Danio rerio: one gene and its partners. The protein of the gene in region 3 binds, or shares a complex with, the protein of the main gene of each other region. Links are inferred from orthologs where the notes say so. Each region holds a gene or a part of one and is shown on either strand. Other genes may lie near its edges.

The links.
Region 1: the proteins of mios (region 3) and wdr59 are in contact, whole or in part, in a cryo-EM structure (PDB 7UHY), measured with the Homo sapiens proteins. The link is inferred for Danio rerio from reciprocal best matches to the Homo sapiens genes MIOS and WDR59. Residues at the interface, in NP_001357005.1 of Homo sapiens: Asp705, Trp710, His711, Arg713, Ala714, Ile718, Ser721, Lys728, Pro729, Leu730, Ala731, Gln732, Val733, Phe734, Val735, Ser736, Cys737, Asn738, Phe739, Ile744, Lys780, Pro781, Leu782, Pro783, Leu787, Cys788, Leu789, Gly793, Pro795, Gln819; in NP_085058.3 of Homo sapiens: Tyr871, Arg876, Glu877, Arg879, Ala880, Glu881, Leu883, Lys884, Pro889, Pro890, His893, Lys894, Gly895, Ile896, Glu897, Phe898, Gly899, Val900, Tyr901, Arg906, Glu908, Val909, Arg910, Thr912, Phe922, Gln923, Ala925, Ile926, Cys927, His928.
Region 2: the proteins of mios (region 3) and castor1 are in contact, whole or in part, in a cryo-EM structure (PDB 9LVK), measured with the Homo sapiens proteins. The link is inferred for Danio rerio from reciprocal best matches to the Homo sapiens genes MIOS and CASTOR1. Residues at the interface, in NP_001357005.1 of Homo sapiens: Ala83, Asn84, Val109, Pro110, Lys111, His112, Ala113, Arg114, Asp134, Lys135, His136, Arg137, Asn184; in NP_001032755.1 of Homo sapiens: Val94, Ser116, Thr117, Tyr118, Gln119, Thr120, Asp121, Thr188, Tyr236, Leu255, Thr256, Ser257, Ser258, Ala295, Tyr296.

The regions. Positions count from the first base shown.
Region 1 is NC_133193.1:7,039,730-7,043,386, forward strand, and holds part of wdr59 (GATOR2 complex protein WDR59), read left to right. Parts: intron 1-1,016; coding exon 1,017-1,133; intron 1,134-1,223; coding exon 1,224-1,301; intron 1,302-2,120; coding exon 2,121-2,277; intron 2,278-3,490; coding exon 3,491-3,570; intron 3,571-3,653; coding exon 3,654-3,657. UniProt on the Homo sapiens protein: As a component of the GATOR2 complex, functions as an activator of the amino acid-sensing branch of the mTORC1 signaling pathway. The GATOR2 complex indirectly activates mTORC1 through the inhibition of the GATOR1 subcomplex.
Region 2 is NC_133180.1:12,722,579-12,726,235, reverse strand, and holds part of castor1 (cytosolic arginine sensor for mTORC1 subunit 1), read left to right. Parts: intron 1-1,649; coding exon 1,650-1,785; intron 1,786-3,442; coding exon 3,443-3,566; intron 3,567-3,657. UniProt on the Homo sapiens protein: Functions as an intracellular arginine sensor within the amino acid-sensing branch of the TORC1 signaling pathway. As a homodimer or a heterodimer with CASTOR2, binds and inhibits the GATOR subcomplex GATOR2 and thereby mTORC1.
Region 3 is NC_133191.1:51,769,478-51,773,134, forward strand, and holds part of mios (GATOR2 complex protein MIOS), read right to left. Parts: intron 2,211-3,657; coding exon 1,956-2,210; intron 1-1,955. UniProt on the Homo sapiens protein: As a component of the GATOR2 complex, functions as an activator of the amino acid-sensing branch of the mTORC1 signaling pathway. The GATOR2 complex indirectly activates mTORC1 through the inhibition of the GATOR1 subcomplex.

The DNA of each region.
Region 1 (3,657 bases), on a different chromosome or scaffold from region 3:
TTTACATGCTGCATTAAAAGATCACACTTTTAGGGTAATGACTTTATAAAACAGGGGTGGCCAAACTCGTCTAATAAGCTTGTTTTATCCTGCCCCTTTTCGCTCAGCCGCATGACAGAATATCACAAGTAAATTAAACAGGGGGCTAATAATTCAGGGCGGCTAATAATTCTGACTTCACAGGGTTCAACGCTAAGGACATTTTCTACTGGCCCGACTGGACCAGCAGTTCAGATTTTTACTGGCCCTGCCAAAATTTTCACTGGCCCCACCAAAATAAATAAATAAAAAATAGCTATTTTTTTAGCCACATATTTTAAATAATGTGTCAAAAATAATGTCGTTGAATCTAGAATTTAAATATTTTTAAAATGTTAAAATATTTAGCAGTAAAATACAGCAGTATGGAAAATGTGCAGGTATTTTATTGCTAAACAAAAAGTGGCGGACTTAAAAGTGATGGAAAATTATGCAAAACATCACTTCATTTTTTTCGATGTGTTGTACCCATGTAAATATCTTTTTCCACAACGTTGGAAACAGACGTTTTCTTTTAGCCGCATAATTTGATGTTGTCGTCTCTTCACTGTTCTGGTTTTTACCAGGTTGTGAAAAAATTAACGTGCTAACAACAACCAATCAGATAAAAGGAACCAAAAAGCAATATGGGGTTCACGACTTTACAGAAAACGTAGCATTCTGAGACTTAAAAGCACAAATTGTTTCTCAGTTCTAAGACTGTATTTGCATACAATTGACAGTAGCAGGCAAATAAAAATTTGATGACAAGGCAGCACTGGCCTGATCGGGCCAGTAACGATTCTCTTTACTGTCCCGAACATCTCTCATGCTGGCCCCGGGCCATCGGGCAGTCCTTATTGTTGAGCCCTGCTTCAACTTTGTATGTCTATAGGTGGGCCCACACAGTTTGCGCTACGCCACTGTTTTTTGTTGGACTTCCCACAAGTTTCAATGGAAATAAAACATTTATTCTATTCTACTGTATTCCATTTCAGAAATCGAACACTGCAGTCGAGTACGTCGCTGCCCACCTGTCAAAGATTAACGGTCTGGACTGGCACCCTGATAATGAGTACATCCTGGCTACTTCAAGTCAGGACAACTCTGTTCGGGTGAGTATAATCATAATTATTGATCATATTCTTAAATAGTTTTAGCTGCAGTTTTGCTGATTCTGTTTTTATACTGATTTATCTCAAAAGTTCTGGGATTACAGACAACCCCGGAAGTACCTTGATATCTTATCCTGTCAGGTGCCTGTGTGGAAGGCCAGATACACGGTAAAGTTTAAATATGCAGTTTAAATATATATTTTTCTTGATATTTTCATTTTAAATACTTTGTTTGTTTCTGTTGTGATGATCTCTATCAGGCAAATGTTTAAAATGATTACGTATTTTTGTTTTAGTCTCAAAAATACAATAAAAACAATATGGAAAAATGGGTGGCACATTGGCTCAGTAGTTAGCAGTCGCCTTACAGCAAAAAGGTCGCTGGTTCGAGTCCTGGCTAGGCCAGTTGGCTTTTCTGTGTGGAGTTTGCATGTTCTCCCCATGTTGGTGTGGGTGCTCTAGTTTCCCCCACAGTCCAAACACGCTCTATAGGTGAATTGAATAAGCTAAATTGACTAGTGTATGAGTGTGTATGGGTGTTTTCCAGTACTGGGTTGCAGCTGGAAGGGCATCCGCTGTGTAGCTTATCCAGTCCTTCCAGCCGCAACCTAGTACTAGGAAACACTTATACACACTCACATTCACACACACACACTATGGTCAAATTAGTTAATCCAATTCACCTTTACCACATATCTTTTGAAATGTGGGGAACACCCGGAGGAAACCAGGGAGAACATGCAAACTCAACACAGAAATGCCAACTGGCCTGGCTGCCACTGGAACAAGCAACCTTCTTGCTGTGAGGTGACAGTGCTAACCACTAAATCACCGTGCTGCTCATTAGTGAATTTTTAAAGTTTATATTTTTATTTGTATTTACGCTGTTAATATAAGAGATGGAAAAATGAAAATTAGTAATTCAAATAATGGAGAATCTGCATGTTGTAAAGTACTCACTGCATCCTCTCCTTTTCTTCTGTCTAGCCTTTCTCAAATGGGCTGGTTACAGTGATGGTTCCTCAGCTTCGGCGTGAGAACAGCCTCCTCCTGTGGAGCACACTGGAGCTGAACAGCCCTGTTCATGCGTTTGTGGGCCATGACGATGTTGTGTATGAGTTTCAGTGGAGGCCGCAGAAAGAAGGTGAGCAGAGCTGGCAGTCGAAGGAAATTAAGGAATGTTATTTACCACAAAATCCCCAGATTGATTTTGTGTTTGAATTGACAATTATTAGTCTGAACCCTTGTCATCAAAACCAAAACTGCCTCTTCTCTCCTCCCACCACATCACATGACAACCTCAAAACGTTATGCATTTATGAAATGCGCTTTACACAAGTGAGTGGGCTTGACAAACCACCAGTAGAAACACTTTTCTCTCTCTAAAAAAACACTAAAAAAAATAAAGAAACTATGAACAACTGATCTGTAAAGTGTGAGTTAATATATTAGTTAAGTGTTAGTTATCAGTTTATGTATGTTATTGGGACGTTATTCTAAAGATGCAACTATTCCTCATTTACTTACAGTTAATAAATAAAGAATAGTTGCAACTTTAGAATAACGCCCTATAACATATATACACTAATAACTGATACTGAACAAGTCTTTAGTAAGTAATTTACTAACAGCTTGTTTATGATCTATTACTTATTAATTAGGTATAGTTATAACATTAAAAAACTGTTACAAAGTCATTTAAAGCTTGTTAACTAACAGCTTGTAAGTTATATATTGGCTATTTATAAGGCACAGTTATAAATAATTAACAAACTATTGACTTATATAACAAGTCATTTATAACTCACTAACTAACAGTTTATTAATGGACTATTAACTAGTTATAACGAAATAGTTATACTAAATTGTTACCGTGAATTTTTGACTAAATTGACTACATCACATCTGTGTGTGAATGTGTATGGGTGTTTCCCAGTACTGGGTTGCAGCTGGAATGGTATCCACTGCGTAAAACATCTGCTGGAATAGTTGGTGGTTCATTCCACTGTGGCAACTCCTAATAAGTAGTGGACTGAGCCGAAGGAAAATTAATAAACCAATATTTTGTGTCTGTGACCATAGAACTGGAGAGTTTTTAATAAATCATGCATACCAACTTTAACTATAATTTTTTTTCTGCTGTCCGTCTTTTGTGCATAAGCTGTATCTGCCTCAAAACAATGATCAATAATTGATGTCCATGTGCTATAATCAATCCTTAATAAAGTTTAGCAATTACTCAATAGTCAATTAATTGCTTTCATCTATAATGGAGATAATTCTGGCAATAAATGCTTCATTTTCACTTTCATAGCAAAAATATAATTGTATTTGTGCACTGTTCATATATATCTTAGGGTCCAAAGACTGCCAGCTGGTCACGTTGTCCAGAGATCAAACCCTGAGAATATGGAGAGTTGATCCTCAGCTCCAGAAGGTGATGCTTGGGAATGGATTTTTGTTTCTATACAGCTGGAGATGTTATGTTAGAGACTGACTGATGGATGCATGTTTTTGTAGTTGT
Region 2 (3,657 bases), on a different chromosome or scaffold from region 3:
AGTGCGTGTGTCGAATGTGATGTCATGTGTGATGTGATGTGCGGCTGGCGGCGCACACAGAATAGAGAATAGAGCCTAGTTCACGTGGCGCCGCATTTGATTTGAGATGAAAATGTCTCAAATGGGTACGACTGTACAGACAAAACTGCAACCGCTGTGGGAAAGGAAGTAAGTTTTTGTTAAAGTTAAGAAAAACCTAAGGGATGAGTTTTTTAAAGCCAAAAGAGGTCATGGCAAAAGTTTAGACCCAGGTACACAATTATAGAATATGTTTTTAAACCATTTATAGGTTTTACACTGGTGTATATATTAAAGTTTTGATTTAAAAAAAGTAATAGTTACAAAACTATAATTAAAAAAACGAATTATTTCTTTGATAACTGGAATAGAATATTAGAATTTTTCGGTTTACAATATACTGATGCCTTGTTTTACTAGGCTTTATTGGTGATAATGGTCTGGAATGTTGGATCATTATTGCCTTTTTAGCTTATAAGTATACAACAGAAACTAACCAGACAGTAATGTGTGACTTGAGTGGACAAAATAAAATAAAATAAAACATCAGTATTTTTTAGAAAGTGTACTTTTTTTTGTTGCTTTTATTCTTTCCATAATAAAAATTTATACTTGTAGAGCAACTCAAGTTCTGTAGTCAATAATATTTAACTTTAACAGGTAAAACTGTCCAAGATATGAACAAAAGCAAGTGATCAAATAAAATTCAAATTTAAAATCAAATTTTGATTTTAAAAATTATAATAAATAAAGAAATAATAAATGTAATAATGAATAAAAAATAATGAAAAAAAATTAATTTAAGAATCTTGAACAATATTAATGATGTGAAGTATAGTTCCGGAAACTTCTTACTTCTCTGTTTATCTGTCTGACTTTACCATGGTTTTCTTTTGACCGGCTCTGTCGTTTTAAAGAGCCTCGTCCTTTTAAGCGCAGTCAGTGAAGTTGCGTGATGTGGTGCCTGGTGAAAGTATAAATCAGCCTTAAGATGTTTGTTTGTATTTTCCTGTAGTTCAATGATGCATCTAACCTGTCTTTAGTACTGTTCAATTTGAATACATTTATTTTACCACTAGTTTTGTGATTTTTGCATTTCTCTTTATGTGTGTGCGTGTTTTTGATGTTGTGATATAGATCATAAATGTTATACTTAATGGTCTTGAAAAGGTCTTTAAAAGTTTTAAATTTGACATTATGATATCTGCAGAAACCCTTATAAATACTTTTAGATCATTAACTTTAATCATTACAATTGAAATGTGAAGAGACTTTCAAACCAGCACAACAAATAATGTTTCTGAAGACAATCACCTACTGCACCTTTAAACTAAAGTGTTACCACCATTTTTAGATTAAGTACAGATTGTCACTAATACCCTCACTTATTATGTATCTATTAATAAGATATTGGCTGTTTATTAGTACTTATACTGATCTGTTTCTACATCCTTAATCATATCCAATAACTAAACACAACTTCAACCTTACTAACTATTGATATGCAGCAAATCAGAGTGTTTCTGAGCTAAAAATCTTAGTTAATGGTTTGTTAATGTGAATGTATCTTAAACTAAAGTGTGAGCATGATAATGGTATTTTATTAACACACTGAAATGTCTGTGTTGTAGGTGCGAGAGAAAGACCTGTCTGTGGTGGTGGAGACTCTGGTGGAAGAGTTTAATATTTTCCGAGAGGAGGGAGGAGAATCAGTGCCTGTTCACAGTCAGGACTCCTGCAATGGTCTGCAGAGGAACGGCAGAGAGGGTGAGTGTAATGAAGTTTACGGCCCTTTTGCCGCCGGGAAGAAGGAGGCGGAGAACCGACGCAGGAGACTGCCGTCTAAACCAAAACAAACGGATGGCAAATCCTTACGGAGACTGCCGTCAAACTGAAAGCAAAAGTAAAACAATATGCCCGGGCCCGGTCCTCTCTCGGCTTCCTCTGCCATCATTCCTCCTTTTATGGTCCAGAGCTCCTTCCGTGGGATTCGAGGCAGGTGCGCACCGCAGGTGTATCCACTTACGCGGTGGCCTCACTCCGTTCCCACGGCTCTCGGCCACGCCCCCTCACCACAGTGAGAAATGGATAAAATATATATTCAGTGTTCATACGGCCCTGAAAAACCTGGAAAAGTCATGAAATTTTGCCAAGGCATTTTTGTTCAGGCTTGGATAAGTTTTGCAAAAGCTAACTCAAAAAAAAAAAAAAAAAAAAGCCTCTGAACCGTCTCTGTCTACAGAGCATGAGAGCACTCAGATTTACTGTATCTGTTGTTTCAATCTCAAGATGAATGAATGCAGTAATTAATGATTAATTAATAACATCATTTTCATTTTTGAGTGAGCGAACCCAAAAATGTAGCATTCGCTGTTGGCCAGGGATAAATAGGTGAAGTTTTTTGAGAACTGGTGGATGGTTCCCAGAGGCGAACTGGCCATCTGGCATACCGGGCAGTTTCCCGCTGAGCCGACGTACTTTTTGGGCCGGGCTGATCATCTTGTTATGATCTCATAGGCCCATAAAACACTTAGCAGACTGACGTTTATTTCTGCCTAATTGATTGGCGATGCTGTGACGATCTAAAAGTAAGATGTTTCTTATTCCAAACAGACCGGCCCATGTGACATAATCTGCAGCCCATTGGTTCTTTTCTTTATTGACATTCGCATGATGATGAGATATCATGACATTTTGTTTTTGATCGTAAGCATGATGTAGGTTTATAGTTACAATAACATTTATACAAAATGGTTATAATGATATTTACATATGATAAAACTAGTGTGCAACTTAAGCAAAACTAGTACTATTGTTTACATTTAGTTATGTAGTTCGGGCCCAAACAAATATTTGTTGCATTTTTTTAAAGAAGTTTATTTGATTGACTACCGTCTTTAAACTATGTTTGATGTTTTATTGTTGAGTTAAATATGTTTTAAGGGTCTCTGTCTGACACTGCTTTTATTATTTATCTTTATTTTGGTAATCAACATTAACTGTGTGCATCAGCAGGCAGTTTTTGTTATGTTCATTATTTAATGTAGGCTCCCTCAAAACACACAGGCGCACACAAGACGGACTTCCAGTGTGGATTATAATTTTATTATAATAATAAATAAAATTTTTTAAGCATTTAATTTGTCAACTTTCACTATTTCCTATATATGGCTTTTGTGCTTTTCTAGAATGGGAGTTGGTAAACATATTCAAGGGCGTGTACAGATAGGGACCATTTTGATTGAATGTAGTGGCCCGCTCTGTCCCAGTCCAGCCCTGATGGTTCCTATTAATTCCTGTAACTACATGGCACTAAAGCACCTATTCATTGCCCCCAGCTTGGTTTAATAACAGCTTGTACACTTAACAAATGCTAGTATTCCAACGTGAATATTAAATCTAGTTTGTCTTTGTGTTCATTCAGTTCCACATGCAACTGTTCATCCAGTGTTGATCCCGGAGAATCATTTTTGCGTAATGAGTTTGGATCCGGACACTCTGCCAGCAATCGCAACCACCCTCATAGACGTTCTGTTTTACTCGAACAGGTATGAAAAGTGCTGATCCGTGCATTGGTGATCTTTTCACTGCTTTGAGTATTGTTTGGCAGCAACAAAAGCAAGTCAGCGCTGTCATTTA
Region 3 (3,657 bases):
ACTAATATTTAAAAATGCTTTTAAATACAATTAACGACTATTACTGCAGTTATGTAATACTATTAATGCTTTTCTATCTACTAAACACTATTCTGCAGTATTACAGTAAAAAAAAAGATTTTTTGTGCATTACATTAATGACAACTGTGCAGAGCAATGTGCTAAAAATGGGAAAAATGTATTTGAGTTATGGTATGTTTTATATGTTTAATATATATATATATATATATATAGCTGATTCTAGCGTTATGGATGTGACATTTGCAGTAAAAATTCAAAACATAAATTCGCAGAGAAAGTATACGTTAACATTATATTGAATCATCTGTTTATATTTTCCAAAACAACTAACCACAGAGTTATGGAATCAAAAAATTTAAATCTGTGAACATTTTTATACTTTAAATTAGGAAAATAAACATGCGTTATGGATGTGACAAAAAAAAAGTCCCTGAGTTTACAGTATACAACATACTTTGTAGAAATTCTGTGAATTAAACTGCACAACCCAAAATAAATAATGCTCATCAAAAGTATAAGAGTTGGCTCGTTATAGAACAAAAATGATTGATTTTATTTTATTTTGACATTTTTGCATTTTTGAGGGAAAAGCTTTGTTATGGATGGGACACTTTTTCGTTAGGGATGTGACGGATGTGAAATTGCCATTTGTTTGACTTTGGTAAATCAAATATAATAGTTTGAAAACATTGACAGAGACATTTTTAAGTATTTTTAAAGTACTGTAAAACACTTGCCTACACAAAAAAGCGTAGAAACGGTTTCGCTAATTTAATGAAAACATTTTTCTTTTCATGACAAGGTTGACATTTTCATGGAATTGCTCATATATATATATATATATATATATATATATATATATATATATATATATATATATATATATATATATATATATAAATAAAAAGATGCAATGATGATATATATAAATAAAAAGATGCAATGATGATTTGTATATGTGTATTAATCTTTCGAAGCGCTGCATTCAAATCTGTGTTTGATTGAGAGAGATTCAGTTTTTACACTTTTTTAGTTAGTTACAAACAAATAACTAATACAGAAGTACTGGAAGATCAGTTTATAGTTCAGTTATACACACTGATGTTTATGGTAAAGATTAAAATCACTGTTGTAACTGGACGCTGGTGAATGTTGTAGCAATTACATTGTGTAACCAATGGGTGGCGGCAAACAGCCATCAAATTTATGTCACTAAACAGATTTCAAAAATGATCCACCTAAAATGTTTTAAGTGTGAATTGTTGAATTATGAGTTTAAAATAAATTTGATATGTTGTACAAGATGTTAGATTGCTATATTTAGTATTATCAGCAACAGTAGCAAAGATGTACGTTCCTGTAAGAAAACATTGCAAATAATTGGAAATCCGGCGACAGCAATCATCAAACACTTGGGAACAACTGTGGCCGAAACCAAAGTTTACAGTGACTGTGATTTCTCTGGACTCTTCTCAATCGGTGGACTTCTACATTCTGATTGATTCCCGCTGAACCAAGTCATAGCTCATTACCATAAAGATTACTTGATTTCAATTCTCCTCGGCGCACCGTGGTGCTCCTCGCCGCATATCGCCACCGGCTCCTCTTGAAAATGAATGACTTCCAGCTACTTTGACGCTCTCACGCCTTTTGGTGTGAACGTACAGCAAGACTGACATGCCTTGTGTATTCTATAGTCTTTGTTAAAGCCGACCAGTCAAATTGTCGGTGCAACCGCTAATATTTACATGCTTTATTTTGCTTCTCTTTACCATATGGGCATTATTTGTTGGTTTGTTTTAATTGTAATTAATAGTTTAAATTCTTTTAAAAAATGCTATTAAGAATAGACAAAAAGAGAAATTTTCTCTTAAAATTCCTCCTTTTTCTGTTGATTGATTCTGTTGTTGATGTGACAGTGACAGTCCTGTTACCTTTCTCTGAGGAAGCTCCTTTATTCAGGATCTGAATGGCCCGCCGGATGTCCAGGTTAAAGAGGGCGACGGCAGCAGCTCGTTCCCACTCGCCCTCCTGCTCCAGAGACTTCAGGAAGGGTTCAACATCGGTGTCGGGCCCTTGACTGATCCAGCCACACAACTGGAGGGCCAGACTGCGCTCCTCACTGTGGAACCGTGGGACGTCCGTCTGCCTGTCTGAACCTGACCAGCACCGCCGTGTCTCTGTAGTGCCTGAGGAACCAATCGTTATTTCTTTATTCATTCATTACGATCAACATCAAGATCTCAGAATATATCACAATAGGTAGTGAGTGAACAAAAAGTTTTACACCTTTTTCTTTCACCCCAAGATGCTTTTCTGTGAATATGAAAGTCAATTTTCGTAATCTACAGTACTGTACAAAATAGGGCTGCACACATTGGAAAAAAACTGATATTGCGATATTTATTTTCTGCGATAAATATTGCAATATGAATACAGTTTCACAAGACGGTTGTAGCTTTTAATTACAATGCAAAAAAAATGCTTTTCTTATTTTTCTTTGTCTCGTTTCTAGTCCAAAAATTCTTAGATCAAGTAAAAATATTGTTTTGTTTTAAAAGTCATATGAAATAAGGCAAAATTAAGAGGTTTTCCTTAAAATAAGCTAAATTATCTGCCATGGGGTATGTAAAATAATCTTGTTTTCACTTTGAAATGTAGATAATTAATTTAGAAAAAGTCAAAAATTATAAGTAAGAAAAAAAAATTATTTTCCCAAATCATATAATTGTCATATAAATACAGTAATTAAAAACAATTGTGTAGCTCCTGTTTAATTATAATTTAGACTCAACATATATCTTTGCGATGTGACTATTGCGGATGCGCACATTGCGATATCGATGCTGAAACAATATATTGTGCAGCCCAAATGCAAAAGTCTTAGGCTACTAGTATTTTCACAAGAAAAGGTTTTATTTCAGGTATTTCTATTTTTCTGTAGTCAGTTGCTATTTTTTTCATGTCAGTTTGAAATATCAATTAACATTTCCAAACTTTATTCTTGTCATAATTTGTAATTCTACAGTGAGAGTATTGTCTGATCATCATCAAGGGGTGCTTTTCCCAAACAACGATGTAACTTGCGGCTGAACTATCATAGTGCAATACATTGTTTGTATTGAAAACCCGCAGTTTCTCTGTCGCAGATCCATCATTGGAACCACGTTAGTTTTATCGTAAAATAGCCATAATGATGTTTTAAACGGCGTGGAGTAACTACTTCTTTAGAAAAAAAAAACAATTTTGTTTTAGTGTAGTTTTACATGCACATACATTTAAAATAAAATCCAATATTAGTTTTGGTAAACATGCACTCTCTTTCCATATTAATTGAAATATATGTAAACGACAGATCTAGGGCCTGTGTTTCCTTTACAAATATTATTGAGAACATTCCATATTCTATTCTAAAACATAAAATCACTTTAAAAAGATAACACATATTCTAATATCATATATAAATCATATAAATAAATATTGAGGCTATTTATTAAGAAATGAAATTTAATATTTATTATTTATTAGGAAATGAAAAAATCCTACTTTAATAATGTTAATAATATTAATGATGATGAGGATTATTATTATTATTATTATTATTATTATTATTAAGTAGGGTATTGTTTATTTTTT